Linked DNA regions of Stegostoma tigrinum. The protein of the gene in region 4 purifies or fractionates together with the protein of the main gene of each other region. This does not show direct contact. Links are inferred from orthologs where the notes say so. Each region holds a gene or a part of one and is shown on either strand. Other genes may lie near its edges. The genes, in order: dnaJ homolog subfamily B member 1-like, intermembrane lipid transfer protein VPS13B-like, bag5 and dnajc7.

Region 1 (7,652 bases), on a different chromosome or scaffold from region 4:
GCTTTAGTGCGTCCCTCAGCACGTAGTCCTGGACCTTGGGATGTGCCAGTCTATAACACTTGGTTGAGGTCAACTACTTGTTGAGGACAACTACTTGAGGTCAACAGCACCAATGATATAGGTAAAAATGAGAATGAGGTCCTACAAGCAGAATTTAGGGTGTTAGGAGCCAGGTTAAAAAGTAGGACCTCAGAGGTAGTAATCTCAGGATTGCTACCAGTGCCACCTGCTAGTCAGAGTAGAAATGAAAGAATAGGCAGGTTGAGGGAAGGGTGAAATTGGTAACTAAATATCCCCAGATGTAGATGCTTTGGGCAGAATAGAAGGGGAAGTAAAAGGGGTGGAGGAGTTGCATTACTGGTCAAAGAGGGTATCACAGCTGTACTGAAGAAGGGTACTATGGAGGACTCGAGCAGTGAGGTAATACGGGCAGAACTCAGAAACAGGAAGGGTGTGGTAACAATGTTGGGGCTGTGCTACAGGCCTCCCAACAGTAAGCGTGAGATAGAGGTACAAATATGTGGACAGATTATGGAAAGGTATGGGAGTAACAGGGTGGTGGCGATGGGAGATTTTAATTTTCCCAACATTGACTGGGATTCACTTATTGTTAGGGGTTTAGATGGAGCAGAATTTGTAAGGAGCATCCAGGAGGGTTTTATGGAGTAGTATTATGTAGTCCAACTCGGGAAGGGGCCATACTGGATCTGGTGTTGGGGAATGAGCCGAGCCAGTTCGTTGAAGTTTCAGTAGGGGATTACTTTGGGAATAGTGATCACAATTCCATAAGTTTTAGAATACTCATGGACAAAGACGGGAGTGGTCCTAAAGCAAGAGTGCTAAATTGGGGAGATGAAGACTGTGGCAAAATTCAACAGAAGCTGGGGAGTGTGGATTGGGAGTAGCTGTTTGAAGGTAAATCCACACTTGATATGTGGGAGGCTTTTAAAGAGAGGCTGATTAGAGTGCAGGCAGACATGTCCCTGTGAAAATGAGGGATAGAAAGGGCAAGATTAGGGAACCATGGATGACAGGTGAACTCATGAGACTAGCAAAGAGGAAAAAGGAAGCATACATAAGGTCTAGGTGACTGAAAGCAGACAAAGCTTTGGAAGCACATTGGGAAAGTAGGACCAATCTGAAATGAGGAATTAAGAGGGTGAAAAGTGGTCATGAAATATCTTTAGTGAACAGGGTTAAGGAAAATCCCAAAGCCTTTTATTTGTACATAAGGAGCAAGAGGGTAACTAGAGAAAGGGTTGGCCCATTTAAGGACAAAGGAGGGAAGTTTTGTGAGGAGTCAGAGAAAATGAGTGAGATTCTTAATGAGCACTTTGCGTTGGTATTCACCGAGGAGAGGGACGTGACAGATGTTGAGGTTAGGAATAGATGTTTGATTACTCTAGGTCAAGTTGGCAAAAGGAGGGGGAAGTGTTGGGTATTCTGAAAGGCATTAGGGTTGGCAAGTCCCCAGTTCCAGATGGAATCTATCCCAGGTTACTGAGGAAAGCAACAGAGGAAGTAGCTGGGGCCTTAACAGATATCGTTACAGCACCCTTGAGCACGGGTGAGATCCCGGAGGACTGAAGAATTATTAATGTTGTCCCCTTGTTTAAGAAGGGTAGCAAGGATAATTCAGGTAATTATAGACCGGTGAGCCTGACGTTAGTGGTGGGGAAGCTGAGGGATGGGATCTATTTACGTCTGGAAGAAAATGGGCTTACAAGTGATAGGCAGCATGGTTTTGCACAGGGAAGGTCATGTCTTACCAGCTTGATAGAATTCTTTGAGGAAGTGGCAAATTTGATAGATGGTGGAAGGGCTGTGGATGTCATATACATGGACTTCAATAAGGCGTATGATAAGGTCCCCCATGGTAGGCTGATGGAGAAAGTGGAGTTGCATGGCATCCAGGATGTATTAGTAGATAGAAAACTGGCTGGGCAACAGGAGACAGAGAGTTGTAGTGGAAGGGAGTCTCTCAAAATGGAGAATGGTGACCAGTGGTGTTCCACAGGAATCTGTGTTGGGAGCACTGTTGTTTGTAATATACATAAATGATCTGGAGGAAGGTGTAGGTGGTCTAATTAGCAAGTTTGCAGATGACACTAAGATTGGTGGAGTAGCAGATAGTGAAGGGGATTATTGGAGAATGCAGCAGAATATAGATAGTTTGGAGAGTTGGGCAGAGAAATGGCAGATGGAGTTCAATCCAGACAAATACGAGGTGATGCATTTTGGAAGATCCACTTCAAGAGCAAACTATATGTAAATGGAAAAGCCTTGGGGAAAATTGATGCATAGAGAGATCTGGGTGTTTAGGTCCATTGTACCCTGAAGATGGCAACGCAGGTCGATAGAGTGGTCAAGAAGGCATACGGCATGCTTTCATTCATTGGACTGGGCATTGAGTACAATAGTTGGCAGGTCATGTTACAATTGTATAGGACTTTGGTTCAACCACATTTGAAATACTGCTTACAGTTGTGGTCGCCACATTACCAAGAGGATGTGGATGCTTTGGAGAGGGTGCAGAGGAGGTTCACCAGGATGTTGCCTGGTATGGAGGGTGCTAGCTATGAAGAGAGGTTGAGTAGATTGGGATTATTTTCTTTAGAAAGACAGAGGTTGAGGGGAGACCTGATTGAGGTCTACAAAATCATGAGGGGTATAGACAAGATGGATAGCAAGAAGCTTTTTCCGAGAGTAGGGGACTCAGTTACTAGGGGTTACGATTTCAAGGTGAGAGGAGGAAAGGTTTAGGGGAGATATGCCTGGAAAGTTCTTTACGCAGAGGGTGGAGGGTGCCTGGAACGTGTTGCCAGTGGAGGTGTAGAGGCAGGCATGACCGCGTCATTTAAGATGTATCTAGACAGATACATGAATAGGCAGGGAAGAGAGGGATAAAGGTCCTTGGAAAATAGGTGACAGGTTTAGATAGAGGATCTGGATCGGCGCAGGCTTGGAGGGCCGAAGGGCCTGTTCCTGTGTTGTAATTTTCTTTGTTCTTTATCTTTGTTCTTGTTCTTTGTGCTTGCTCTGGAAGATCCAACAAGTTTCAGGAAGACCAAAGAGAATCTTTCTCTGAGTTGCTGGTCCTCCAGGTGCAGTTGATATTTGTCTTGGTGTGTGTCCCCGGGAACAGACCGTCGAGCACACATACCTGTGTCATGGAGCTGCTCGGAATGAACCTCGACAAAAATCACTGCATCTCTCTCTGTATTTCGTTCGCAAAGGCACATTCCAGAAGGAGGTGTGTGCCAGTCTCTAACCCCACCTTGCAGCCACTTTGAGGGCAGCGTGCGGTGGTGCAGATTAACCGGGCGTACAAGAAGGATCTCACAGGCTGGAAAGTCTTCGGCTTTCAATTTAGTAAACACTCAGGTTTCCTATCCTTCCTTAAATAAAGCAGACTGGAGTCGTGGGCTCAACACTCTCTTACCAGTGATGTACAAGTAACCCTCCCTGTCATTGCTGCCCTTTCTCTTGCCCGGGGAGAAGTTGAATTTGGGGACCAAGAAGCAATTCCACATCTCGGAGATGAATGGATGAATGAAAACCGAAATAGCCACGGATGTTTTAAATCAGAACAAAAGTTGCCGGAAAAGCTCAGTAGGTCTGGCTGGATCTGTGAAGAGAAATCAGAGCTCACGTTTCAGATCCAGTGACCCATCCTCAGGAACTGACTGAATGAATGAGTGAATGCTGTTGCTGCGAGCATGTACCACAGCCCGGCCATCGCCTCGAGGGGGCGGGGTTTGGCGTAGAGGGGCGGGGTTTGAGTGTGGAGGGGCGGGGTTTGGTCTGTAGGGGCGGTGTTTATCGGGACGGCGTGGTTTTGGAGTGGAGGGGCGGAGAATGAGTGTAGCGGGGCGGGGTTTGAGGGTGGAGGGGCGGGGTTTGGTCTGGAGGGGCTGTGTTTATCGGGACGGCGTGGTTTGGAGTGGAGGGGCGGAGAATGTGTAGCGGGGCGGGGTTTGAGGGTGGAGGGGCGGGGTTTGTCCGGAGGGCAGGGTTTGGGATGGAGAGGCGGGATTTTAGGGTAGAGGGGCGGGGTTTGAGCGTGGAGGGGCGGGCTTTGGTGGAGATGCGGTGCGTTTGGTGTGGAGGGGCGGATTTGTCGGGGGTGCGGGTTTTGAAGGTGGAGGGGCGGGGTTTGTTGGGAATGGGGTGGGTTTGATGTGGAGAGGGTGGTCTTTGAAGTGGACGGGGTGTGTTTTGGTGTGGAGGGGGTGGGTTTGGTGTGGTGAGGCGGGGTTTGGAGGGGCGGGGGTATCGGTTTTGTCGGGGGGGTGGTGTGCGGAGGCCGGAGGCGGGGCTTGGACTGGTGGGTGGGATTTGGCGGTTGGGATCGGCGGGGCTGGGTGAGAAGGGGGCGGATCTGGTGAGGAGAGGAAGTGACGATGTATGGAATGTTCCTGAAAGTTCGAGCAATTTGTTGAAAGTGTTGCGGAGAGACGGTGAGAGCGGCGCGGCCTGGTGAGTGTTGCTGAGGGGTTCCGAATGTATCCAGGGTGAGGGGCATGTCCATTAGGTACATTGGCGGCCGAATGTATCCTTTCCCTTTTGTGTCAGGGCCCGGATACATTGTTTCCCCTTGCTACTTTGGGGAGAAAACGTTGTGGGTTGGGCAAGGTTTGAAGCTGTTGGAGTTAGGAAGGGGTGTGGACAGGACAGGGGCAGCCCCTGTGCCTGTTATTTGATAAATTGCCCCTCCCTGCCCTGTGTTGTGACAGACAGCCCGTGGGGGGGGGGGAAGCGGGTAGGGGGTAACGAGACTGCTCTTTCCCCATCATCGTACATTTTTCCAAAGGTTAGGGGAATGACAGGCCCTCCAGCCCAAGGTACTTTCAACGTAAACCTGCAAGGGTTAAGAACAGCCGTCAACTTCTACATCTCTCTCTTTCACCTTTCTTCCCCCGCTCCTCCCGTGTTCTGGTTTAATTGTCTTTCAAAGGGTGTATCCCATCCTGGCAGTAAACCAGAACTAAAGGGTCTTTACAATTCTACCCCCCCCCCACCCATAACAAAATTCCTTTTCTCAGCAACTCATAGGGTAACCTGACACTGACTGATCAGCTGTCAGATCCCAGCTGACATGGGGATTACAGCCAAAAGCAGAAATTGCAGGAGAAATCTTCTCAAAACTCGATTGCATGAGTAACTCAGTGGGTCTGGCAGTGTCTGTGGAGAGAGAGAGAGAAATGCAGTTAACATTTTGAGTCCTGCTGACCTTTCAGAACTTGAAAAGGGTAACCACACCAGCTAGCTGGTGAAACCAGGCCAGGACTTATTTGGAATGGGAGATCTCCTTCAAAAAGGTGCCATTTGCATTGCGTTTCTGAGCTTATGATTTCAGTTGGTCTTTTGTCAGGGGAGGGGAGGGGAGCTAAAATCTTCAAATGGTTGTGGTTTTGCTTTCTCTCCATTGCTTGCTAATTTCTTTGGGCTCTGTAATCTTTGCAACCCCATTGACAGAGTTGTGAAGAACTCCCTGAAATCAGTACAGTAGGCCTAAGGGCCTCTTTCTGTGCTGTGTAACTTTATAACTCTTTTCTCTTCTATTGCAGTTGTGTATCTGGAATGTTAGCAAAAACTTAAGGAGGTTATCTTTTCTGCCATCAGAAAAGATGATGAAGTGGGGGGTGTGGTTGACTTGTGAAAGGAGAGAAGGGTGACCTATACAGAGTCGGGGAAAGGACTTGTCAGAATTGTCAGGTGTGCAATTGATTTGTCATATGTACCAAAGTTTAGTGAAAAGCTTTGTTTACCAGCGGTTCAGGCAGATCATAGTAAGCGAGGATGTACAGGTCAAAAAGACATAGACAGGCAAACAGGATGTGTGCTAGGTGTGATCAATGTTAGTAAGATCAGTGTTGTTTGATGCTAGACAGTCTGTTTATCAGTCTGATAACAGCTGGCAAGCAGCTCTTCCTGAATCTGCTGGCCCTTGTGTTTGGACTTCTGTATCTTCTGCCTGATGGAAGAGCTTGTAGGAGGTCATTACTGGGTTGCAGTGGGTCTTTGATGTTGGCAGCCTTTCTGCGGCTGTGAGCTGTGTAAATGGAGTCCATGGATGAATGGTCATGAGGCAGTGAGAAGGTCCATTGATCCTTGAGTAATGCAGGACAATATCTTGAGGGGCATGGATAGGGTGAGTGGGTCAAGGCCTTTTCACTAGGGTTGGGGAGTCCAAAACTAGAGTTGGGAAGGGGGCTGGGGGTAGGATTTAAAAGGGACCTTAGGGGAAAGACTTGCCTGCAGAGCGAGGTGCCTATGTGGAATGAACTGCCTGGGAAGTGGTGGAGGCTTGTACAATTACAACATTGAAAAGACATCTGGATGGGTACTTGAATTGGAAGGGTTTAGTAGCTTGTGGGCCAAATGCTGTGTGATGGATCTGGATTGAGTTTGGATATCTGTTTGGCACAGGAGGGTTCGTGACTGCTTGTAAATGTTAATGACTCTGACTCACTGACAATGTTGGTGGCAACACAGGTAGGTTTGGAATTAAAAACCTAAACTAATGGTGGTTGGTGGGTAAGGGAAGACTTGTCTTTATAGCACCTTTCATGACCAGCATGGCTGTGGTATGTACTAGACGACTGAGATGTTTTTTACAGTACCAAAGTAGGTCGGGGGAAAGATACTGACCTGGGATATTGGGGAGGAACACCCTGACTTTATTTTCAAAATGCTGATTTTGTTTTTCCTCAAAAGACAGCTGGGAAGTAACATATTGAACCATGTGATGTGAACTTGAAGAAGAACCAAGGAAGGATTTTTTAACACAGCAATGGTTGAGATAGCTGGTCCAATTAGCAAAGAGCTCATGGGATCCAAGACAAAGTGGCACATTAGATCCAGAATTAGCTAAGAGCCAAAACGTAGAAGGAAGTTTCTCTGACTGGAAGTCTGTTTCCGGGGTGGGGGGAGCTGGCAACAAGTGAGGAAGATGGCCATAAATGGTGGGAAAACATCAGTGTACTGCTCACGTGGGCAGGGTAGTGGCAAATGGAATTAGTGCAGAAAAGAGAAGTAATGCACTTGGCGAGGGCCAGCAAGGCAAAGGATTACACTGTAAATAGCACTGTGGAAAGTATTGAAGTTCAGAGCGACCTTGATGTGCATGTCCATAGATCTGTGACAGTAGTAAGGCAGGTAGGTAAGTTGGTTAAGGTGTTTAGGATACTTGCCTTTATTAGCCAAGGTGTAGAATACTGCAGTAAGGAGGTTATGTATAAAACACTAGGTAGGCCACAATTGGAGTAATGTGTGCAGTTCTGATCGACACACTATGGAGAGAATGTGATTTTTCACTAGGGGAGATTTACCAGGATGCTGCCTGGACTGAAGGGTCTGAAATGTGAGGAAAGATTGGATAATCTCGGCTTGTCAGGTGACCCAGTAGAGATGTAAGATTGAGGGGTACAGATAGGGTGGGTAGGAAGACATTTTTCCCATTCGATGACATCAGTAACCAGGGAAGCATTTTTTTAAAGGTAAAAGGTCAAAGGCTAAAAGGGATATATTTTTCACCCAAATGGTAGTGGGAGTTTGGAACTCATTCCTGGAAAAGGTTGGTTGGGTCAGAAACTCTAATAACATTGAAACCATATTTAGATATTCATTTGCAGAGCTAAGGTCAAGAA
Region 2 (7,742 bases), on a different chromosome or scaffold from region 4:
TAAATATGATTGTGTTATTTTAAGCTGGGTTCATAAGTCAGGTAAATAGGGAACTTTGAATAGTTTGGCAGTAAATCTTCTCACATATGCAAAAAATAAGGCTGAATTACTTCCTGCAATCTTCAGCCAGAAGTGTGAATAGGATTATTCATCTGAGCCTCCTTCAGTGGTCCCCAGCATTACGGGTACCAGTCTTCAACAAATTCAATTCACTACACATGATATCAAGTAACGGTTGAAGACATTTCAGTTTCCAATGGCTATGGGCCCTGACAATATTTTGGCAATACTATTGAAACTGGTGCACCAGGATTTGTCAGTCTTCCAGCTAAGCTGATCCAGTATAGTTACAACATTGGCATCTGACAATGGGGAAAATTGCCCAGCTATGTCCCGTACGCAAACCTAATCCAGCCAATTCCTGCCTATTGGTCTACCTGCGAACATCAGTAAAGTGATGGAAGGTGTTATCAACGATGCTGTCAAGTAGCATCTGTTCAGCAATAATCTGCTCAGGTGATGCCCAGGATGGGTTCTGCCAGGGTCGCTCAACTCCTGATCTTGGATCAAATGGGGATAAAAGCTGAATTTCAGAGGTGAGGTAGGAGTAACTGTCCTCAGCATTAAGGCCTCATTCAACTGAACGTGGCATCAAGGAGCCCTAACAAAACCGGAATCAATGGGTAGCGGGGAGCAAAGTCTCTGTTGGTTGGATTCATGCCTGGCACATAGGAGGATGGTTGCGGTTGTTAGAAGCTGGTCAACTCAGTTCCAGCACATCTCTGCAGGAGTTCTTGAGGGTGGTGTCTACAGCCCAAACATCTTCAGCTACTTCATCAATGACCTTCCCTTCATCATAAGGTCTGAAGTGGTGATGTTTACCGATGATTGCACAATGTTCAGCACTTTTCATGACATCTCAGACACTGAGGCTGTCACGTTTAAATGGACAATATCCCAGCTTGGGCTGACAAGTGACATTTGTGCTCACAAATGCCAGGCAATAGCTATCTCCACTAAGAGACAATCTAGCCACAGTCCCTTGATATTCAATGATGTTACCATCATTGAATTCTCACTGTCAACATCCAACTAGAAACACACTGGATTTACAACATAAACACTGGCTACAAGAGCAGGTCAGAGCCTAGGAATACAATGGTGAGTAACTCACCCGCTGATTCCTCCAAGCCGTCCACCATCTGCAAGGCACAAGTCAGGAATGTGACGAAATACTCCCAACTTGCCTGAATGGGCATGGCTCCAACCACACTTTCGCACCATATCCACAAGCATCTACTCCCTCCACCTCCGACGTTCAGAGGCATTGTATGCAATTTACAAGACGCACAGCAAAAATTCACCAAATATCCTTAGATAGCTCTGTCCATAGCCACAGCCATTTCCACTCAGAAAGACATGGTGAGCAGATACATGGAAACACTACCGCCTGCAAGTTCCCTTCCAAGCCACTCACCATCCTGACTTGAAAATATATCTTTGTTCCTTCACTGTCACTGCGCCAAAATTCAGGATATCCCTCCATAAGGGCATTGTGGGTCAACCTTTGGCACATGAACTGCAGCAGTTCAAGAAGGCAGCTCGCCACCACCTTGTGAACAGCAACTAGGGATGGCCAATAAATGCTGGCCAGTAGGGGATGCCCTCATCCCAAGGGTAAATAAAAAAACATGATAAGTCTGGGAATATTGGGCTTCATTTCCAGCACACTACCACAGTGAGTTGTGACGCTGTCTGCCATTAGTGCAACTGCCCTAGACGGACATTCTTTCCCCAACCCCCTCCACAACTATCTTATATCTTCTTTCCAGTAAAACAACCTTTACATCTCCCTGACCCGCTTTAACCTTTAGGAATGCAGTATTTGTCTGAGTTTCCGAGTTCTGAGGAAGGGTCACTGGACCCAAAATAGTAACTCTGATTTTTTTTCTTCACAGGTGCTGCCAGACCTGCTGAGCTTTCCCAACAACTTCTGGTTTCACTCCTGTATTTGTCATCAGGCTGAATCAGAAAAAGTCTCATGACTCCTTCTCCATTTTACCCGAGATTGAAAAGACACAGTCTCCAAACAACAATCTTCTAAGTCTCATTTATAACAATGCCATAAACAGCCTCCCTTAACAATCCAATTCCAAGACCATGACTGAAAGATTGTCAAAACTGCAGCAGAAAGTGAGCAGTGAGCATTAAGGCAAAGATTGAAAACAGGGCTAACAAAACAGTATCTAAACGAGCAAATGAGCAACAACTTTTTTTTGTAAATCACCATTTTAATTTCACATTCCCAACAGAAAGCAATACAACATTTAGATAATACAAGCGGCTACACTTCAAAAGTGCTGGATTACTGTAACACATTAAGACACATCTTGAGGTAATGGAAGGTGTCAATAAGTGTCTTCCATATTTCAGTAAAACCTATCAATACACAAATGCTTGTACGGATAATTTTTATTTTGTTTCCCATTTTGTAACGTTTTGAGCTCTGCTGTTCAACTTCACATGCTTCAGTTCAATTAATTCGAAATTTATGTTGTTTTTCAACAGAATGGTTCATTTCTCCTTCTATTAAAAGATTTCAAACCTTTGTTCTACTTATTTATTTAGCAAATTCAAATTGTGAGTACAAAGTGATTGTTTCCTCAGTTGCTGAGTTGAAGGCTACTTAATATGTAGAGAGGACACTCATTTATATACAGCATTATTGTCTCTTGTCATGGGTATAAGAGGTGTGCAGGGGCCCTGGCTTGTGCTGGACCTTTTTGGAAAGGAATCAACAGGTGCATTCTCTGAAGTAATCACTACACCAGAATACAACTGTCATCAAGCAGCACTCTTCGTTCAAACAGCATAAAAATCATTTTTTGTCTTCAACTGGCATTCTTACAAATTGTTCCGATGACCTCAAGATGAAAGGCTTTGATAAGGTGTGTCCTTTTTTCCAATAGTCAGGTTCTGTACATCTAAACATCTATTTGCATTTTATCTAACTCATTACCCAACTCATAAGTTAAAATTGCATATCCCTTTCACACATGCAGACAAACGATCACAGACAATGTTTGTTGGTCGCTCATTACAATCAACATCAATTGCAATTCTTGCTTCTTCCTTGCAGAATATCGAGAAGAGAATTCAGAGATGGTTAAACTCATGACAGATCTAGACATAGCCAATTAAATTGGTCTAAGGTCTGACAACCAAACAACATCAACTTAAGGTGTTTGATGAAATGGCCAGGCAAGATGCAGAAAATTCCTTCTTTTCAATGCTGCCAGTTGTTATGATCCAGAACATATTTTCAGAGTATGATGCAGTTCTCCAATACTGAAATATCTCCAATCAAAGTCACAAAGTATATCCAATATGATGTGACAAAAGTAGACTATTCCTTCCTTGTGCTTCTCGCTCATCTGTGTTTTGTTTTAATGCAGCTGACCACACCATTCTCTTCAAAATCATTGCTGTTCATCTAGGTCAAATTGCTCTAACGTGATTTATGCCCTCAAAAATTTGGGCATATCGAAAAGGTGGGAAGATGAGGAGGACGGGAGGAAGATTGATGAAGGCAGGGGTGGACGAAGGTGTCAGTGGAGGTACAAAATTGGGAGTGGGCGAAGTGTGCGTCAGGAGGGTTGGCTAAGTGGTGGGAAGAGAGCAGAACAGAGCAGGCAGCGGGAAGTGACAGAGTAGGTTGTGTATCGAGTAACTGCTGAGGAGGGGTCCGTGGGGGTCGGTTGGTGGGGGGGGGGGGGGGGAGTGTGTTGTGGAGGCAAGAGTGGGTCGGAGGCTGGGAGGTGAAGGGGATGGAGTACTGGGAGGGTTTGTGAAGGAACGGCGTGAGGGTGGACAGGGGAAGGAAAAGGACAGAAGGGAGAGCGGAGAATCGCAGAGAGGGAGCAAAGTGCTTCAGCAGTGGCGAAAAGATACGATCCCCCTGGAGGCTACTGCTGTCACAGGAGGCCCCGGGCTTCAGTGCGATCAGTCGCTGAGGTGCGGGGCTGGTTGAAAGCAAATAAAAATTAATCAGGCAGAAAGTTGTCCCGACCACAACACTTACTTGACTATTTGTTCCATCTTTGTTTCCCTGGGTGCTGGATCGCTCATGAGCGTCCAATGAGCTCTCGGTTTAATCCTCCGCCTCCTGCACCTCTCACACACCCTCCTTCAGGCCAACCAGTGCGCCTGCGCCACATCAGTCCCGCCCGCCACCAAACCGACGGAACCGTTCGGTTGACGGAAATGACGTTAGCACGATGGGTCAAGGGTTTGGGCTGGAGTCAGAATCCGAATCCACCCGGGGAGAAAACTAGGCGCGTTGCACCTCGGGATACTGGAAGAGTCTGTCGTCGGTCATCCTGTGAGTGTGGGAGAGTTGCGTTGGTGATGGGAGGAGGGAGTGGGGGGTTGACTGTAGTGTCGAGGTGATGCTGATGCTGATGATGGTAATGGTGGTGGAAGCGGCTGTTTAATGTCTGTTGGGGAGTTAGCACCAATCCTCGATCAGCCGTTGACCTGCCGGCTGCCTGCTCGATGTCAGGCTGAATTTGTGTGATCTCTGCCGGAGGTGGGTCTCTTGAGAGCAGCTGAAGAGTTTTTGTGGCCTTGCCCCATCCTGTTACCTGACAGCAAGGGGACTGACTTTGCTTCCTCTGTTTGCTCATGGGGCTGACTCACCACGCTGTGTTGTACTTTCTGGTGTAGTTACCATGTTAAACTAACATAGCTTGATCATTCGCATTCCATGTTGGCAGGTAACAAGTTCCTGTGGTGTGTAATTTGTACAGGTCGCCGATAGTTTGACAGATCTACGTGTGATTAAACAGCAGATAAACTCACGCGCTTTAAAAGCATTCCCTTTGCCTCAGTTAAAGTCAGATTACTTTCCTGCTATATTTTAAAATATAAGACGAACATTTATTGTTTGACGTTTGCCAGGAGGGCTTTGGAAGAGAAGCTGAGATCTGGTTCTGTTAATTTTTCGGAAGTTTCCTGACATTGCCATCTTCCATTCTCTCTCTTTCCATTTTTTTTTCATTCTAGAAATTTTCAAATATCTGCGGATGCTTAAGCAATATATGAAGCTCTTTAGTATGACATTCTGTGTTCTGAAAGCCTACTTGATCTGTAGTGAAATTGTGATCAGTTGAGTTTGGACAGTGCAAAATTCCACTTGTGTGAAGTTAGCCATTCCTGTTAGTAAGCTGGCACAACCAGAGAATGATCCCTGTGATAAACTGAAGGCCTTTATTGGTTCCTTTGGATTAGCTGAATTTGTACAAACTTTAATCTGACTACACCAACCAATTGGAGCAGAGTTAGGCCATACTAGAGTGCACAATCATGAAATCATATACCATCATTTGACAACAAAAAATATTCTTGTGAAAGACTATTCAGACTTTTGAAGTGCGAGAGAGAAAATGAAGTTAGTGCAGCAGGTGAAAAACCATAGCATGAAGTGAAAAGCAGGCATTAACAATTGGGCGATTGTACTCTTGAGTTTGTCAACAATTCTGAAGCATAAGGCAGACCTCTTCATAGAATCATAGGATCCTGACAGTGTGGGAACAGGTCATTCAGCCCATCGAGTGCACACTGGCCCTCTGAAGAGCATGCCACCCAGACGCACTCTCTACCCTATTTCAGCATTTCCCACACTAGACACTATGGGCCATTTAGCATGGCCAATCCACCTAACCCACACATCTTTGGACTGTGGGAGGAAACCAAAGCACCCAGTGGAAACCCACGCAGACAGGGGGAGAATGTGCAAACTCCACACAGATAACTGCCCGAGGTTGGAGTCAAACATGGGCCCCTGGCTCTGTGAGGCAGCAGTGCTAACCACTGAGCCACTGTGCTGCTTGAAACAGTTTGAAAAGCAGGCATCCTCTCCTGAGAGGAAGAGAATGATTGCCTAACCCGGTGATGAGATAAAAACCGAAAGAATTGTGGATGGTAAACATCAGGAACAAAAACAAAGTTGCTGGAAAAGCTCAGCAGGTCTGGCAACATCTGTGAAGGAAAAAACGGTTAACGTTTAGGGTCCGGTGACTCCTCTTCAGAACTCAGATGATGATGAAGCTTTGCTAAAGTTGTTCAAGGTAGCTCAAGCAGAACTCACTCCCGTTTCTGGTCCAGAGGGGAGTCATTGTGTTTTTATTTGTGTTTTTCTGAGATTGAGCATGTGTTTGACATCGTCAAAAGTTAGGTTGCCTAGAGGCCTCTTTTGCTATCTTGCAATTCCACTTCACACAAATTTGTCGGTAGCCCCATAATGATTTGACTCTGATTGAGGATCACTGTATTTGAAAGTGACAGATTACAAAACTCACAAAATGAACATATATCTTTTGAAATATGCACCCTTGATCTGGAAGAACAGTAAATGAACTAGTTCTTGTCAATGTCACTCTTGTTCAGTTAGGGGTGGTTTGTTTATTTGTAAGTGCTTGTTGATTTTGAGATTTGAGATTCTATGTGTAAAGCAACTTGGTATAAGATGGGTGCAATAAAATCTACTTGTGGGAAGTAGTAGGAAATCCTTGTTGCTGAATAGCATTTCAGTATATGGGGCATTGGTTGAGGTTGAACATATGTTGCATTCTGGATTGTATAATGTTGAGATGAAGTGTTGGCTGGCGTGCCAATCTGCAGTGCCATATTGTTAATTGATACATACTGCCTGGAAATTGGAATTTCTTTCACAGGTGGATTGGAGTGTAACATGACGCAGTAGATTTCTGTGTATGAGACGTGAGTTGATAACTATTGATGGAGTTGAAAAGTAACTCTGAAGGTAACATGAGGTGGGCAGGACAATGGCTCAGTGGATAGCATTGTTGCTTTACAGCGTCAGGGACCCAAGTTTGTTTGCAGCATTGGGGAACTGTATGTGTGAAGTTTGCACATTCTCCAGTGTCTGCGTTTCGTCTGGGTCCTCTGGTTTCCTCCCAAGGTCCAGAGATGCGTGCATTAGGTGGATTGGCCATGCTAAATTGCCCAAGTATGTGCAGCTAGGCTGATTAACCATGGAGAATACAGGGATACTGATATATGGTTGGGGGGGGGTAGTGCTGGATCTGGGTGGAATGCTCTTCGAAGTGTTGGTGTAGGTTCAATGGGCCAAATGGCTGCTTTCCCGTTGGAGGTATTCTATGTGATGGAAATGAGGATGGTCACAGAAAACAAATTACTCAACACTAATAGTCTCTGAAGAGTGATTCGGAGCAGGACACCTGGTTGTTAGTTTGGCTAGGGAGAGGGGTGAAACAGCCTCTGTGTTCCACCTGACCAGCAGAAGAAACAGTTTCCTAGGCATCAAGCGGTATATCTGTATTTCTTAACTACCGTGGCTGTCATCAATTAATTCAGCATGTTTAACTTGTGTCTTTTGGCCTGTATGGCTTATTCTTATAACTACTTTAATGCTGAGATATCAAGGAGCTGAATAGAAAAATAAGGTTAAATGTTGGGTTGTAACAGTAGAAATGCCATATTGGCTTTGTACTATACAGCTGGGGATTCATTAGGATACAGAGGGTTTGGCAGAATTGTTTTAACAGCTCCCTAAAATCTATTCACTATTTCACTATTCAGTGGGTATGACATTAATCTGCTTATTTCTCATTTGAAGGGGTAGAACAAAGGTTGTAGACAAATTCTATGGATGTGATAGTAGTTATATGAGAAGAAGTTGAGTAGAATGTGCCTATGTT
Region 3 (7,439 bases), on a different chromosome or scaffold from region 4:
GTTCCCTATGCTATCCCTGATCGGCCCTACTCTTTCTTTGACCATTCTCTTATTCCTCACATAAGTGTAAAATGCCTTTGTGTTCTCCCTAAACCGTTCTGCCAAGCCTTTCTCGTGCCCCCTCCTGGCTCTCCTCAGACCATTTTTGAGATCTTTCGTCGCCTGCCTGTAATCCTCTAGAGCTGAGCTTGACCCTAGCTTCCTCCACCTTATGTAAGCTACCTTCTTCCTTTTGATGAGAAGCTCCACCGCTCTCGTCATCCAAGGTTCCTTTATCTTACCCCTTCCTGCCTGTCTCAGAGGTACATATTTATTCATCACTCGCAACAACTGTTCCTTATACAGTCTCCACATGTCTATAGTGCCTTTACCATGGAACAATTGCTCCCAGTCCATGCTTCCTAACTCATGTCTAATCGCATCATAGTTTCCTCTTCCCCAATTAAATATCCTCCCATTTTGCCTAATCCTCTCCTTCTCCATAGCTATGTAGAATGTGAGGCAGTTATGGTCACTATCACCAAAATGCTCTCCCACCACAAGATCTGATACCTGCCCCGGCTCGTTTCCGAGCACCAAGTCTAGAATGGCCTCTCCCCTCGTCGGCCTGTCAACGTACTGAGTTAGGAAACCCTCCTGAACACACCTTACAAAAACAGCTCCATTCAAATCTTCTGCTCGAAGGAGGTTCCAATCAATATTGGGAAAGTTAAAGTCACCCATTACAACAACCCTACTACGTCCGCACTTTTCCAAAATCTGCCGACCTATGCTTTCTTCAATCTCCCTGCTGCTATCAATTTCTTTCAGTGTTTTTTTAATAATGCAGAGGATGGTGGGGGTGTCTGGAATTCGCTGCCTGGGTAAGTGGTGGAGGCAGAAAATGAAAACTCTTCAACATATCTGAATCTGCACTTTAAATGCTGTAAGCTGCAGGGCTACGGCCTGTGGTCAGGAATAAAGAATTAGAAAGATCATCTGGGTATCTTTGGGACAGACTGAACAAGATGTGCCAAACGGTCCCATTCTGTGCTGTATCATTTCTATGGTTCTGTTTTGACTGGGTGATAAATATTAGCCAGGACAAAAGGATAACTTCTTTGTAATTCTACATAGTATGAGGGGATTTTTTTTGTCCATGTGAGAGAACATGCAGTGTGAAAAAACTTGAAAAATCTGTGGATGCTGTAAATCAGAAACGAAAACAGAAGTTGCTGGAAAATCTCAGCAGGTCTGGCAGCATCTGTGAAGATAAATCAGAGTTAACGTTTCGGATCCAGTGACACTTCCTTGGAGCAGTTGGTGGCGAGGAAAATGTCAGTTTATGTGCTGAAGATCGGGTGGAATGAGTGGGTTGGGAGTGAACGATAGGTGGGAATAGTGTCCAAAGACAGAGAAGAACAGTTGGACAGACAAAGGAGTGGATAATGATCTGGCTGGGAGGGTGAATAGCTGTTAATGGAGACGGTTATTGGCTAACAATAGATAGTGTGTAATGGCAGAATATGTGAAAACAAGGCCTGGTGTGTAAAGTAGGGGTCTAAGTCATGGAAGAGTTCAGGCCCTACAATTATTGAACTTGATATTGAGTCCGGAGGGCTGCAGGGTCCCCAAGCAGGAAATGAGACGTTGTTCTTCCAGCTTGCGCTGAGCTTCACTGGAACTGCAGCAAGCTAGAGACAGAGATGATGGCCAGGGAACAGAATGGTGTGTGAAAATGGCAGGCAGAGTCTTTTTTTGTGAGCAGAATGCAGGTTCTGTGAAGTGGTCACCCAGTCTATGCTTTGTTTCCCCAATGTACAGGAGACCACATCATGAGCAGTGAATGTAGTAGACTAGATTGTGCAAAGTTCAGGTAAAGTGTTGCTTCACCTATAAAGTATGTCTGATCCCTTGGATACCGAGGAGGGTGGAGTTAAATAAGGAAGTCTAGCGTACTGGCCTTGATATTACAGAGGCTGAGCGCCTGCTCTTAGATAGATCCTCCTATTGTACCTGGATCATGACCTCACCATGACACATCAGACCATTGTATCTCTCACGGTCAGTGACCTCAGTTCAACCGTCACTGCCTCGAAGCTGATAGTTCCCCCAGCTCCACACAGCTCGCTTCTACCTCCTTCCGAAAATCCATAAACAGGACTGCCTGGGCAGACCCATCGTTTCAGCCTGCTCCTGTCCCACAGACCTCATCTCTTACTATCATGATTCAGTCTTTTCTCCCCGTTCCAGTCCCTGCCCATATATGCCTGAGATTCCTCTGACACTCTATTCCGGTTTCAGAATTTCCAGTTTGCAGGCTCCAGCCACTACCTTTTAACTCTTTACACATCCATCACCCCCCCACACACAGAATGGTCTCAGGGTTCTCCACTTCTTCCTGAATGGAGGCCTGAGCTGGCCCCACCCTCCTTCACACCCTCAACAACTTCATTTTTAACTTCTCTCATTTGCTTCAGGTCAGAGGGATGGCCATGGGTATCCACATCAGCCCAGTTACTCCTGTCTCTTAGTTGGGAACATGGAACATTTCTTGTTCCAGTCCTATTCCACTCCCACCCGCAACTCTTTCTCCAATATATTGATGATATTATCGGTACTAATTCCATCTCTCATCAAGAATTGGAAAAATTCTTTGATTTTGCTTCTAATTTCCACCCCGGCCTAACTTTCACCTGGTCTATCTCTGGCTCTTCCCTTCGTCAGCATCTGTTTCCATTTCTGGGGACAGACTAACCACTACATATCCACTATAAACCCACCGACTCCCACAGTTACGTGGATTATACATCCTCGCAATTCTGCCTTCTCTAAAGATTTCAGTGCATTCTCCCAGTTCCTCAAACTCGGTCGCATATGCTCCTATTGGGCCAACTTCAACAAGGGAGCTTCTGAAATGTCCACCTTCTTCCTCAACGATTCCCCAACACCATTGTCAACAAGGCCCTCAACCAGATTCGACCCATCTCTCACACATCTGCCCTCAGCCCCTCTCTTCCCTCCCACAACATTGATAGGGTCTCTGGATTAACAGTCCAGCAATAATACCACTAGGCCATTTTACAATTTTACAGGTCTGATTGAAAAAGAGATTCACAAATTACGTCTAATGAGGGGAAGGCATGAAGCTTTTCCTGAAAAGAACTTCTACAGCACTGGAATTTTTGATGTATGTACTTCATAGCAAAGTAGCAATCAATCTTTGATTGCAGTCAGTCTCAATTAGTCTCAAAATAGCTATCGGATGAAAGCAGCTACAACTCAAACAGCTCAATATCCAAGACAAGACAGCCCACTTGACCATCCCATTCACCACTTTAAACATTCATTCTTTATGGCAAACTGCATGACACGGGTGGCTGTAATGTGTACCATGCAATACACTGCACTAACTCTCAGAAGGTTTTTCCGCCAGCGTGTGCTAAATATTTTAAGATACTGCATCCAAAACGCAAAGGCTACAATTGCGGCATTTAACATGACAGCTTGAGATGGCTGATATACGTGAACGATTCTGCCAACGGATGAAAATTTTCCTCCATTGTCCACTTCTAACAATAATATTCAGCATCCACGCTGAGTTATCTCTTAATAAATCAAACCTTCGTTAAAGCAGTTTGCGGGGAAAAATCAAGCACAGTACAATATTATGTTTATATCCTACGTTAGGTAGATCAGGACAGTTCCCGAGAGGGTAATAAGTTTCAAATAACATCGACAGTCACCCTAGAGTTGCTTCACATTTACTAGAAACAGGAAAGTTGACATATACCTCGGTACCATTGTCACTTTGATCAGCAGCACTGCTCGAAACTGGACAGCACCTTCCTCCCAACACCACGTATTTGTCCCCTCCAGTTTCCTTTACCCGGGTACTATGAAATATTCTTGTTCTCGATAATTTTCCAACAAACGAAAAGACAGTTAGGCACCTACAGCTCATCACTGACAACACACAACCATCCGCCCTGTCCGAAGCTGTTCCAGTTTACGGCAGTAAGGAACCGACATCCTGTCGTGAAAGCGATCCGGCAGTTGGCAGGGTTTGGCTCTACGCATGTGCGTGGTCGAAAACTCTTCGAGCTATCGCTTTCCAGAGTTTCCGGGCGGGCAGTTGGCAGGGTTTGGCTCTACGCATGTGCGTGGTCGAAAACTCTTCGAGCTATCGCTTTCCAGAGTTTCCGGGCGGGCAGTTGGCAGGGTTTGGCTCTACGCATGTGCGTGGTCGAAAACTCTTCGAGCTATCGCTTTCCAGAGTTTCCGGGCGGGCAGTTGGTCGGTGAGTGGAAGGATCCAGAAGGAGCTTCTGGTGGGTTTGACAGGGAGTGAGCTCGTCTCCCTGTCCCACTTCGGTGTGTTCAATCGGGCGCGCACGCGGTTTGGGAGCGAGTCTCGTGCATGCTGTCTTTCGGTATGACCGGTGCGGCCTGGCCCGTATGACAGAGCCTAACGTGGAGTTTATCTCTCGAAGCCTGTGCCAACAGGCCGTCCGGCTTTTGCTGCGCTAACGCCTCATGAGTTTACTCAGAGATACTAGGATCTGCCGATGACGGAGCCTAAGATAACAAGGTGTGGAGCTGGTGAACACAGCAGGCCACACAGCATCAGAGAAGGGTCCAGACCCGAAACGTCAGCTTTCCTGCTGCTCTGATGCCGCATGGCCTCTTGTGTTCATCCAGCTCCACACCTTGTTGCTTCATAAATTACATCGAGAAGTGAAGACAAACTGGCTGCATCGCAGTCAGTGATACGTTAATCATCCTAGTTCCCGTGTAATCTGAAGGCACGATATGTCCAAGGGAGATTTTCTCTAGCACCACCCCGCAATCCAGCATACCATATCAACATGATCTGTGATGCTTAGTATCCTTCCTTTTTTTATTTTTCAGTCACAGAATCCCTACAGTGTGGGAAGAGGCTCTTCGGCTCGTGGAGTCTGCACCAACCTTCCGAAGGGCAAGATAACAAAGTGTGGAGCTGGATGAACACAGCAGGCCAAGCAGCGTCTTAGGAGCACAAAAGCTGACGTTTCAGGTCTAGGCCCGAAACGTCAGCCTTTGTGCTCCTAAGACGCTGCTTGGCCTGCTGTGTTCATCCAGCTCCATACTTTGTTTATCTCAGATTCTCCAGCATGTGCTGTTCCCATTATCTTCCAAAGGGCGTCCAACCCTATTGCCGTAACTCCCCATTTATGGCTAATCCACCTAGCCTGCACATCTTGGGAGAAAACCCATGCAAATGCGGGGAGAATGTGCAAACTCCACGTAGACAGTCACTCGCGTTTGGAATTAACTTGGGCCCTGGCTTAGTGAGGCAAAAGTACTATAGTGAGCCGCCCTATTCAGGAATTATCTGATCGAGCCCTTTTTCATGACGCACTATATGTGTAAGCCTGTAATTTGTTCCCTAAATGAATAGTCTTTTGGGAATAAGAATGACCTGCCATCCGACCAATTCTACCCTTGCGTGATTTATATGCAGGATCTGAAGTTACATCGAAGTTAAGAGCAGGATTTGACTCGGCTCTGCCATTCAATATCATCACGGTTGATTATTGAACTCAATACCTTAGGCCTGCCCATTCCTCCTCCTCCTTCCTTCGCGCCTGCTTCCCCACCCGCAAATATGCCTTAATCACGAGTCACAAGAGCTATATGTAGGTACATATAGTTGTATACTTTGAAAACAATGTTTTGGTCTCAACTAGTTTCTGTGGTCATGAAATCCACAGGTGTACCATTGTTCAGGTGTAGAAATTTCTGCAGAACTGAGTTCAAAAGGTTTACCTCTCGTCCTTAAATTATGACCTCTGGTCTGAACTCCCCCACATTTGGGAACATTCTTCCTCCATCCAACCTGTCTAGCCCTGTTAGAATTTTGTAGGTTTCTACGAGATTTCCCCCCCTCATTCATCTAAACTCCAGTTAATACAATTCTAACTGTGTCAATCTCTCCTCATACATCAGTTCTACCATCCCAGGATTCAATTTGATAAGCCTTCACTGAACTTACTCAATAGCAAGACACCCTTCCCCAGGTAAGGAGACCAAAACTTCAGTCATATTCCATGTGTGGCCTGAATAATTGCAGCAAGGGCATCCTCATTCCTGTATTCAAATACTCAAGCTTTGAAGGCCAACGTACGGTTTGCTTTCTTTGCTGCTGCACCTGTGTGCTTATTTTCAATGACTGGTGCATGATGACACCAAGTCTCATTGAACATTCTCCTCTTAATTTACAACCATTCAAATAATGATGTATTATCAAAGTGGTACTTTCTTATCAGTCCAGTTGAAATAACATATTTGCATGAAAACTTGAAACTTCAATATTTGAAGCAAATTTCCTGGTTACCACCACACTAGCCTATGCTTCTTTAAGGAACTAGAGCCAGCTCTTTGATAATTACTTCGCTACATAATTTCATGGAATAGAATCATAGAACCCCTACAGTGTTGAAGCGGGTCATTCATCCCATCAAGTTTGCACCAAACCTCCAAAGAATATCATGTCCAACCCAACACCCCCAACCCCCATCCCTACATTTCCCATGGCGAATGCACCTAGCCTGCACACTGTGGGTAATTTAGCATGGCCAATTCCCCTAACCTGCACACCTTTGGAGTGTGGGAGGTAGTGGAGGAAACCCACCTGCCCACTCCCATGCACAGATGGGAAAATGTACAAACTCCACACGGCCTGAGAGTGGAATCGAACCCAGCTCCCTGGCACTGTGAGGCAACAGTCCTAGCCACTAACCCCTATTGAGCGTGGCTGACACCGTATGGCTTTTCTCATCCATATATCTCTATGTAATATTTGAGAAAATGCAGGGAAGGTTTCACTTTGCATACATTTTGTAAACACGCAGTGAGGTACAGTTTGTTAGCAGCTATATTTTAGGCAACTGATCACAATGATCATCACCAGAATTCTAGTTAAAAGAATTAACAAAACAGTCCAAAGTTAATTGGTGGACAAACTAAGACAACAGGTGAATAACTGTAATTTAAAAATGATGTCTGAGTACAAATATCTACAAAACCTGACCTCCTTTTATCAATTTTCCAATACACAGTACATCAATATGTTCATTTTCAGGCTGGAAACAGCCCATGCAAACTTGCCATGCAAAAACTACATCCTCCCACTCCTGGTGGTACTGCTGAGACTGAATTTTGCATCTTTCAGCTCACTAGAAATATTTAGTCCATTTTGCCTGTTCTCTGAAAACACTCGTTCCAATTAGTCTCACCTTCTACTCTTTTCTGAGAGTCTTATAATACTTCTCCTTTTTAAACAGAGATCTAATAGTACCACCAAACCAGCATTCATTAATTTTTCAGGCACACATTCCACATCATTACAACTTGTTGACCATAAGAAATTCTCATCCACACCCAGAAATAGTGAAGAAACTCCTGTGTTCCAACCAACTT
Region 4 (8,091 bases):
AGCCCTGAATCTAAGGTAGAATGTTTCAGAGGAGCCCAGAGAGGATTGACATGTAAGATCCCAGGGATGAGGAATCTGTCACATGAGGAGAGTTGAGGACTCTGGTTCTGTACTCCATAGAGTTTAGAAGGATCAGGGGGAATCTGATTGAAACTTGCAAAATATTGAGACGCCTTCTTATTTTGCAATTTATAATATTTCTCCTACTGCATTGTTTACCCCTTAGGGAGGCAGTGAAGTACTTTTCTTTACTCAGTGTGTGGTAGGGGCGTGGAATGCATGGCTGGAGAGGGTAGTGGGGCCAGTCTCATTAGGGGCATTTAAGCTGCTATTAGATAGGCATATGGATGATAGTATAAGGTAGGGGTGGAAGTTAGATAGACCTTAGGTTTCAGGTAAAAGTTCGGCACAACATCGTGGGCCAAAGGGCCTGTACTGTGCTGTATTGTTCTATGTTCTAATAGTGTTCCAGCTCTACACTAACCTACCCCAACACCAAATTAGCTCAGAAATTTTCAGCATGAAGTACACCTGTAATATTTTATCATAAGAGTTGGAGCGCACTTTCAGAAAGAAAATTTTGTCACCCAAGACTTCTGATGACAAATATAACATTTTTATGTCATCTGTAACCGTTCTATAATTAACAGTTTCCACACAGTTGTCTGGAAGAACAAGTGTTATATAAATGAAAACTGCAACGATGAAGCATTCAACGGACAAACTCAATCAAAATCTTCTGAAATTCAGACATAACCCCTTTATGTAATGAGTTTAATGTTTAATTGTGAACTGCTGAGTAATAGCACCCCACTGTCAGGCTTTTGGAAGACTGATGTGATCTATTTGTCTCTGCTCAAATACTCCTCCACAAGACGTCCATTTTGAATTCCAATTCAGTCACACATAACGTTTCCCAGACATATGCAAGTCGGGGTCCGAGAAAGAATTACTTAACAAGTCTGCAGGTGAGCTTCCGAATAGGGTTGTTTCTAAGCACAGTTATAAACATTCACATGCTATTCTCTACCTCGATACATAGCCCTTACCACAACTCTCCTGACCTAAAAGCCATCAGACAATCCCATACACATAACGTTTAAAAGACATTTAGATAATTTATGAACAGGAAACATTTGGAGGGATATGAGCCAGAAGGGCAGTTTCTGTGCTGTATGACTGTGATTCTATGACATGAAGCAAATTTGGAGAAAGTTAATTTCCTCGGTTTCTGAATTGGAAACTAGCAGCTGTGTAAATTTAAGCTAATCAGAAGAACAAAAGGATAAGATTTGTTTCTTCCTTTGAATAGCACAAAGGATACTCAAAAGAAAACAGGGCTGTAAAGAATCTATTACCATCTTTAAAGAAGGATTAAAAATATTGAAGAAAAAAACTTAAGTAAAGGTACTAGGAAAGAGTAGAAGTGTTAAGCTTTCAGAGGGCCAATACAAGTGTGCCAAGTCTAATGGGCTCTCTTTTCAGGATCTTTATTCTGCAGACTGATGAATAAAAGTCAAACGATTTCAAGGTGATGGACTTCCATGGATGTATGCCTGGGAAGAATCAAAGCTAATTCAATACAGGTTTCATGTAACGGAATAGATCAAAATGTTAATTGTACGTTGAAATTAGTACAATCATGGGTGAAATAGCAAAGGAATCATCGTATAATTTTCCAATACAGTGGCAACCATTCAGTCCACAACTTCTCGGGCTAGATCTCTAAAAGAACTTTCTACCTCATGTAAATATACACAAATACTCATTTCACAAACAGGCATTACTCGGGAGTTTGCAAATATTTCAGAAATGAGAGTTGTAAAAAGGCAGATGTGCTCGATCTTTCAACATCACTATTATTTCTGGCTTAATTAATGCCCACTTACATTCAGGGCATGTAATTTCTTTTTGGAGTGTGGGATAAAAAGTACAAGAAACAAGGGCGCATCAATAATCAGTTCAAAGAAATGCTGGCATAGGAGTAGGCCATTCTGTCCCTCAAACCCGTCCTTACTACAGGTGGTAGATTTCTCAATCAATCACATCTATTTTATCATCTGAAACAAATCAATAAAGTCATCCCTGACCTTCTACAGCCAAGAATACTTTACAACCCCAATATATTTCCAACAACATTTCTGGGCACAAAATCCTGGTACTGTATTCAGACTTGACTTCAAACAAATACTGGTGAATTAATACACTGCTCATTGCATATCTATTCTCTGATGAAGTTTTAGATTTAAGGGGAAGGGTGGGGAAAGATGTCTCGGAACAAAAATGAACGAAGTTATCCCTAAACTGAGAAATCTCTGGCTCCTGCAGAGCCTGGGTCTTCTAACCCACATTATTACACTTGGCTGAGCAAACCAATGTTTGATAAATCAGACCATTTGGGAATTAAATAAAATGGAGTGAGAACAAATTGATATCTGGTAAAACGCAGACTACATCTTCGTAAGTGTTCTAAGAGGAAGGTTCTAGTATTTATGGTGGTGGGGGGGGGGTGGGGGAAGGAAGGTTGCCATTTCATTATTGGCACAAAGCCCCACGTGGATTCTGGGGAGAGCTGCTTCCTGGACACAAAATAATCTTGTCTAAAATTCCAAAGCCTGTAAATTAGAAATAATAACTATCTTGAAGAAATATGAATGTGCCGAGTATAAACGAAGGCACCAACAGGAGGAAAGGATAGTTGTAGCATCAAAGGTTGAGAAATGATCAATTATTTTTCAGCCGTTTATATAAAACTGACAAACGCCTGAGACATGTTTAACGCAGATAACGCGATGGGACTTGTGACCGCAGCCTGGGCCTGTCCTTCTCCAGGATCCTGTGTTCCTCGGGCACAGGGTTAACCGCCTTCTCCCCCGGGGCCTATATCTCACCCTCAGGGACTTCAATCACCCAGCCCCGCTTCCAGGCAAGGCCCAGCCCTTGTTTGTTATTTCATCCGCCTGGGGATCCAGCAGTATCCTTCCCCTCCCGGTTACCTCTCCAGATCGGCCTCTCCCGCTCCGTTCGGCTCCGGGGCCATCGTCACATCGCAGTCTCCGGCCGCCATTTCCCAACACCCGGACCCCGGTACCGACCGGCTTCCGGAACAACGAGGCTTCCACCCGCCGGGCGGGAGGCAAGAGCATCCCTGCGGCATAAACTACTGCAGACCTCCCAAACAGATGGAGGACCTCCACTGGCTGGCCCTGGTACCATCAGCCTGGCTCTGTGACCCTGATGCTGATTATTTACCTGGTACCATCCCTAACAGAGATAATGGGAACTGTAGATGCTGGATAATCCGAGATAAAGTGTGGAGCTGGATGAACACAGCGGGCCAAGCAGCATCTTAGGAGCACAAAGGGTGACATTTCAGCCGTCAGCTTTTGTGCTCCTCTGATGCTGCTTGGCCTGCTGTGTTCATCCAGTTCCACACTTTGTTATCTCAATCACTACCAGATTGACTGTGCCTGTCACCTTGGGATTGTATAGAATCCCTACAATGTGGAAACAGCCAATTCGACCCAACAAGTCCACACCGACTCTCTGGAGAACATCTCACCCGGTTTCGCCTCACCTACATTATCCCTGTAACCCTGCATTTACCATGGTTAACGCGCCTAATTTATGCATCCTGGGCACTAGAATTCAGCATGGCCAATCCACCTAATCGACAATTCTTTGGATGTGGGAGAAAACAGTGCGCCTGGAGGAAACCCACACAGACATGGGGAGATTGTACAAACCCCACACAGACAGTTACCCGAGGCTGGAATTGAACATGGGTGCCTGGCACTGTGAGACAGTAGTGCTTGCCCACTAACCCGATGATAATTGCACTGTTTGGCACCAACACAACCAACATAGATAGTTCTGAAAAAGGGTCACTGGACCTGAAACATTACCTCTGCTTTCTTTCTATAGCTGCTGCCAGGCTTGCTGAGTTTTTCCACCAATTTTTGTTTTTGTAATGGAGACTATGCCTGGTACTGTGGCACTGATGATAACTGCACTTCCTGGCACTAACACAAGCGACGTAATGCGATGTTTGGCAGCAACACTAGCAGTATGTCCCATGTACTCAGCTACAGTGGAAATTATTGATGAGTGATAATGGGAACTGCAGACGCTGGAGAATCCAAGATAATAAAGTGTGAAGCTGGATGAACACAGCAGGCTGAGCAGCATCTCAGGAGCACAAAAGCTGACGTTTCGGTTTTGCTTGCCAACTAGACAAATCATACGTTACATAACTGCTTCAGGGTAATAGTACAGAATTCAGAATGTAGTGTTAAAACTAAAAGAAGGTGCTGAGAAAGATCAATTCTGATATATGAGATGTCCCTTCATAAGTCAGATAATAGCAGGGAAGAAGCTATTCTTAAATCCGTTGGTATGTGATTTCAAACTTATGTATCTTCTGCCTGATGGAAGAGGTTTGAAGAGTATAACCGGAGTAGGTGGGGTGTTTGATTATTATTGGCTGCTTTTCTGAGACTGCAGGAAGTGTAGACAGAGGCAATGGACGGAAGGCTGGTTTGTGTGATGGACAAGGCTGTGTTTACAACTCTCTGCAATTTCTTGCAGTCTTGGGCAATTGCCATACCAAGCTGTGATGCATTGCATGGGATGTTTTCCATGTGAATCTATAAAAATTGTTAACTGTCATTATAGACCTGCCAAATTTCCTTAGCCTTCTGAAGAAGTAGAGGCATTGGTGTGCTTTCTTGACTGTAACTCTGGTATAGACCTCAGCTTGATTTAATTATGTTAACTACATAAAAAAGGCCAAAATTGGGTATTTTTGACTTTTTTTGTGATATATCAATTTTATCTTGCTCCCTTTGTTTGTTTCTCTGAAGGTATTCTGTGGTATTTTTCCAGCCTGGTGTCAATCTTACAATACAATATTCCAGTGCCTTGTCAGTCAAAGTTAAGCGCCTATTTGATTTGAGTGTATCATGGTTAACTACAATTCTATTTGAAATTCATGTTATTGTCTAAATCAGCGAATAATCATCAAGAGTGGGAACCTTGCAGATTTTGTCCTCACAAGTTCGGGGGTGCTGTGGCCTCGTGCAAACCTGGCACTTCTCTAATGTCTGTGACCAAGTTACAAATTCCAATCAAGAGGTCATTAATCTACTTCTCAAATTTGACCCTCACCTGGCAATCCAAAAATGACTGCCACATGTTGTGATTGTGGAGCTAATCAATTACTTAACCTGTATGCAAACACCTGAATTTATGCACAATTTGGTGTAAATCCCTAACAATAACCAGAGGAAAAAAAACAGTAAAACTGATGAATGACACATATGAACCAAATTGTCCAAGATACTTTAAAATGGAGGACCGTACGATCAGTGTAAAACATTTGAGTATTACTTTTTGGTTTACTTTTTTTTATCTGTGGAATGTAGTTTAATTTATTCAATCTCAAAAATGTGACAGTATGCCATTTCATTTTCTCCCATTTAAATTTACGATCATTCTGTGCCAACTTGGGGGTAAACGGGTCTTTTCTGTTATTTGTGAAAGGACTCAGAGAAGGACAGAGGGAACCAAAACCTGTACGAGATCTAAAAATTACAACGCAATTCAGTTCTGAATGTTTGCCTTTTTAAAGCTAGTTCTGGGTTTGCAGACAACCTTTCACTTCTCCAATCTAACTTCAACCTTATTTCTGATCCACGTCTAATTCAAGCTTTCAGTTGTGCACCATTTCATGGATGGGCTGAGATCTGCTCTTATTTACAATTACCTTGTCAACATATTTTGGTGCTTTGAGAACCACCTTTCCTTGCCCTGACCCTGAAGCTATGATGTCCACGCTGACATCCGCTGATATACTTACCAAGTAGCTTTTCTCCACACGTGAACAATTGTTTGTACAATTATGTGATTTTATGTAACTTTAATATATATTGACAACCATGATCCTTTGTATAAACAATTAATTACTTGGGAACCCTACCACCTACAAGATCCCTCCAAACTACAACCATCCTGACTTGTTCCTCCAGTGCGACTGAGTTAGAATCCTGGAACGCCCTTCCTAAATGTACTGTGGTTGGCCCTACATTCCACAGACTGCAGCAGTGCAAGACCGCAATTCAGCACCAGTTTTCAAGGGTAATTGGGGATGGGCAATAATTGGTGGCCTGGGAATGCCCACATCCCATTAACAAATAATAAGCAAAGGGATAAAGGGGTAGTGACAATCCTGTGCAGGTGGCAGCTGTGGTTCTGAAGGTAGCACTCTCACCTCTGAATTAGGTTATAGGCCCAAGTCCAACTCCGGAGATGTAAATGAAAAAAAAATCCAAGCTGGTGTGGTATTGTCTTTCAGATAGTAAACTAAGGTTGCATCTGCGCCATCTGGCAGACATGGTACTATTGCAAAGAGTAGTAAGAGAGTTATGCCCTCCTGTCTGACACTTGGCAATCAATCAAAACTGCAAAAAAAAGACGATCACAGTGCTGTAATTGCAGGTTTGTTGCTGTATCTCCTACTTAGCAACAGGGACAACACTCCAAAATAACTTCATCTGCCATCAAGGCCTTTGAGACGTCCTGTGTGAAAGGCACCTTCGGGGGCAGGAATACATAGCAGCCAGTAGCCAGTGACACCCACATCCCATGAACAAGTAGACAAACATACAAAGATGAAAGTATTCCTTTCCAGCGAAATAAATGCATTTGGCGAAATAGAACCAATATTTACAAAGATAAAATCTGTTGGGTTGTGAGTAATTTTCAAATCCTACCCAATCAAACAAAGTGAGGAAACAAAGGGCAAACTCTCCTCCAGGCCTCTTGAGGGCGCTGTTTGTGGAGCCGAGCCTGAGGGGCTGAGGTAACGCATTCTCCGCGTCGTCTCCTTGTTTGTTGCATGGAAGCAGTGGATGGGCTTGTTCTGAGGAGGAAAGCCTTTGTTTACTTTAATCTGTTCATCTGCCGGGAACAAGTCGATATCAATATTCTTATCTGCTCCCTCACGGACGTCCCAACCGAGTCCCAAGTGAAGTTGCGTCCTCTCAAACCTCTCACTAATTATTTGCAGGTAAAAATATTATCAGCAATCAGGAAAGGGGCTGGGATCTCACTGGGCAGGAAATATTAATCTGTTTATTTTATGTTCATCCTGTTTATGTGTTACACAGTGTTCATCAGCCTTTTAGGTTTGCATTATTTTCAGCTATGGCTCAGTGGTTTGGCCAGTTGGGACAGGAGACTTTTTTTGTATTCAACTTCCAACCCCAGATACTTGAGTAGCAGAATCCAGGCTGATCTGCCCAAGGGCAGTGCTGCTCTGCCAGAGTTGACATGTTTCAGTTGGGTTGTTCAACACCCCTTTTTCCAGGCGGATGTGGAAGATCTCTTGGCAGGGAACTGCTCCCCTTTTGAACATTGAATCCCTACAGCGGGGAAGCAGGCCATTTGGATCCGCACTATCCCTCTGAAGAGCATCTCGCCCAGACCCCTAGGCTGTCCCGGTAACCCTGCATTTTCCTGTGGCTAAGCCCCCTAGGCTGCACGTCCATGGACACGATTGAGAATTTAGCATGGCCAATCCAACTAACCTGCACATCTTTGGACTGTGGGAGGAAACCATAGCACCCGGAGGAAACTCTCACAGACACGGGGAGAATATACAAACTCCACACGGTCACCTGAATCAAACCTGGGTCCCTGGCACTGTGAGACAGCAGGGATAACCACTTTATCCCACAGCCAATATTACTAATTTTTAAAAAAGTGTCTTTTTCTAAAGGCTGGTTTTCGCTATCTCAGTCTCTCGTGTTGAATGCTTGCCTGTCATGGAGACAGTAAGGACTGCAGATGCTGGATGCTAGAGTCAATAAATATGGAGCTCAAAAAGCATAGCTGGTCTTGCAGTATCTGAGGAACAGGAAAATCAATGTTTTGGGCCAAAAACCTTTGTCAGAACTGGGGAGGGGAGCCCAGAAATAAGTAGAGGGACAGGGGGTGGGGGGAGTATATGGCCATAGGTGGATGCAATTAGGGGGTAATTTTGGTTGTTCAGTGGGCAGGGTGGAGTGGATAGTTGAGTAGGAAGAAGGACAG

Evidence for each region.
Region 1: the proteins of dnajc7 (region 4) and dnaJ homolog subfamily B member 1-like purify together in Homo sapiens (affinity purification with mass spectrometry; 3 studies listed by BioGRID and IntAct, with this or other methods). This does not show direct contact. The link is inferred for Stegostoma tigrinum from reciprocal best matches to the Homo sapiens genes DNAJC7 and DNAJB1.
Region 2: the proteins of dnajc7 (region 4) and intermembrane lipid transfer protein VPS13B-like purify together in Homo sapiens (co-immunoprecipitation; 3 studies listed by BioGRID and IntAct, counting the BioPlex papers as one, with this or other methods). This does not show direct contact. The link is inferred for Stegostoma tigrinum from reciprocal best matches to the Homo sapiens genes DNAJC7 and VPS13B.
Region 3: the proteins of dnajc7 (region 4) and bag5 purify together in Homo sapiens (affinity purification with mass spectrometry; 4 studies listed by BioGRID and IntAct, with this or other methods). This does not show direct contact. The link is inferred for Stegostoma tigrinum from reciprocal best matches to the Homo sapiens genes DNAJC7 and BAG5.

What each region holds. Positions count from the first base shown.
Region 1 is NC_081388.1:21,035,477-21,043,128, reverse strand, and holds the start of dnaJ homolog subfamily B member 1-like, read left to right. Parts: upstream 1-4,370; 5' UTR 4,371-4,479; intron 4,480-7,652. Other genes in the region: c35h19orf67 (UPF0575 protein C19orf67 homolog), read right to left, coding at 3,443-3,533. UniProt on the Homo sapiens protein: Interacts with HSP70 and can stimulate its ATPase activity. Stimulates the association between HSC70 and HIP. Negatively regulates heat shock-induced HSF1 transcriptional activity during the attenuation and recovery phase period of the heat shock response.
Region 2 is NC_081358.1:121,819,922-121,827,663, reverse strand, and holds the start of intermembrane lipid transfer protein VPS13B-like, read left to right. Parts: upstream 1-4,294; 5' UTR 4,295-4,381; intron 4,382-4,438; exon of another isoform or gene 4,439-4,588; intron 4,589-7,742. UniProt on the Homo sapiens protein: Mediates the transfer of lipids between membranes at organelle contact sites. Binds phosphatidylinositol 3-phosphate. Functions as a tethering factor in the slow endocytic recycling pathway, to assist traffic between early and recycling endosomes.
Region 3 is NC_081363.1:40,506,241-40,513,679, reverse strand, and holds the start of bag5 (BAG family molecular chaperone regulator 5), read left to right. Parts: upstream 1-4,279; 5' UTR 4,280-4,309; exon of another isoform or gene 4,310-4,352; intron 4,353-5,966; coding exon of another isoform or gene 5,967-6,037; intron 6,038-7,439. Other genes in the region: cytochrome c oxidase assembly factor 8, read right to left, coding at 3,773-3,943. UniProt on the Homo sapiens protein: Co-chaperone for HSP/HSP70 proteins. It functions as a nucleotide-exchange factor promoting the release of ADP from HSP70, thereby activating HSP70-mediated protein refolding.
Region 4 is NC_081384.1:12,732,338-12,740,428, forward strand, and holds the start of dnajc7 (dnaJ homolog subfamily C member 7), read right to left. Parts: upstream 3,131-8,091; 5' UTR 3,068-3,130; coding exon 2,997-3,067; intron 1-2,996. UniProt on the Homo sapiens protein: Acts as a co-chaperone regulating the molecular chaperones HSP70 and HSP90 in folding of steroid receptors, such as the glucocorticoid receptor and the progesterone receptor.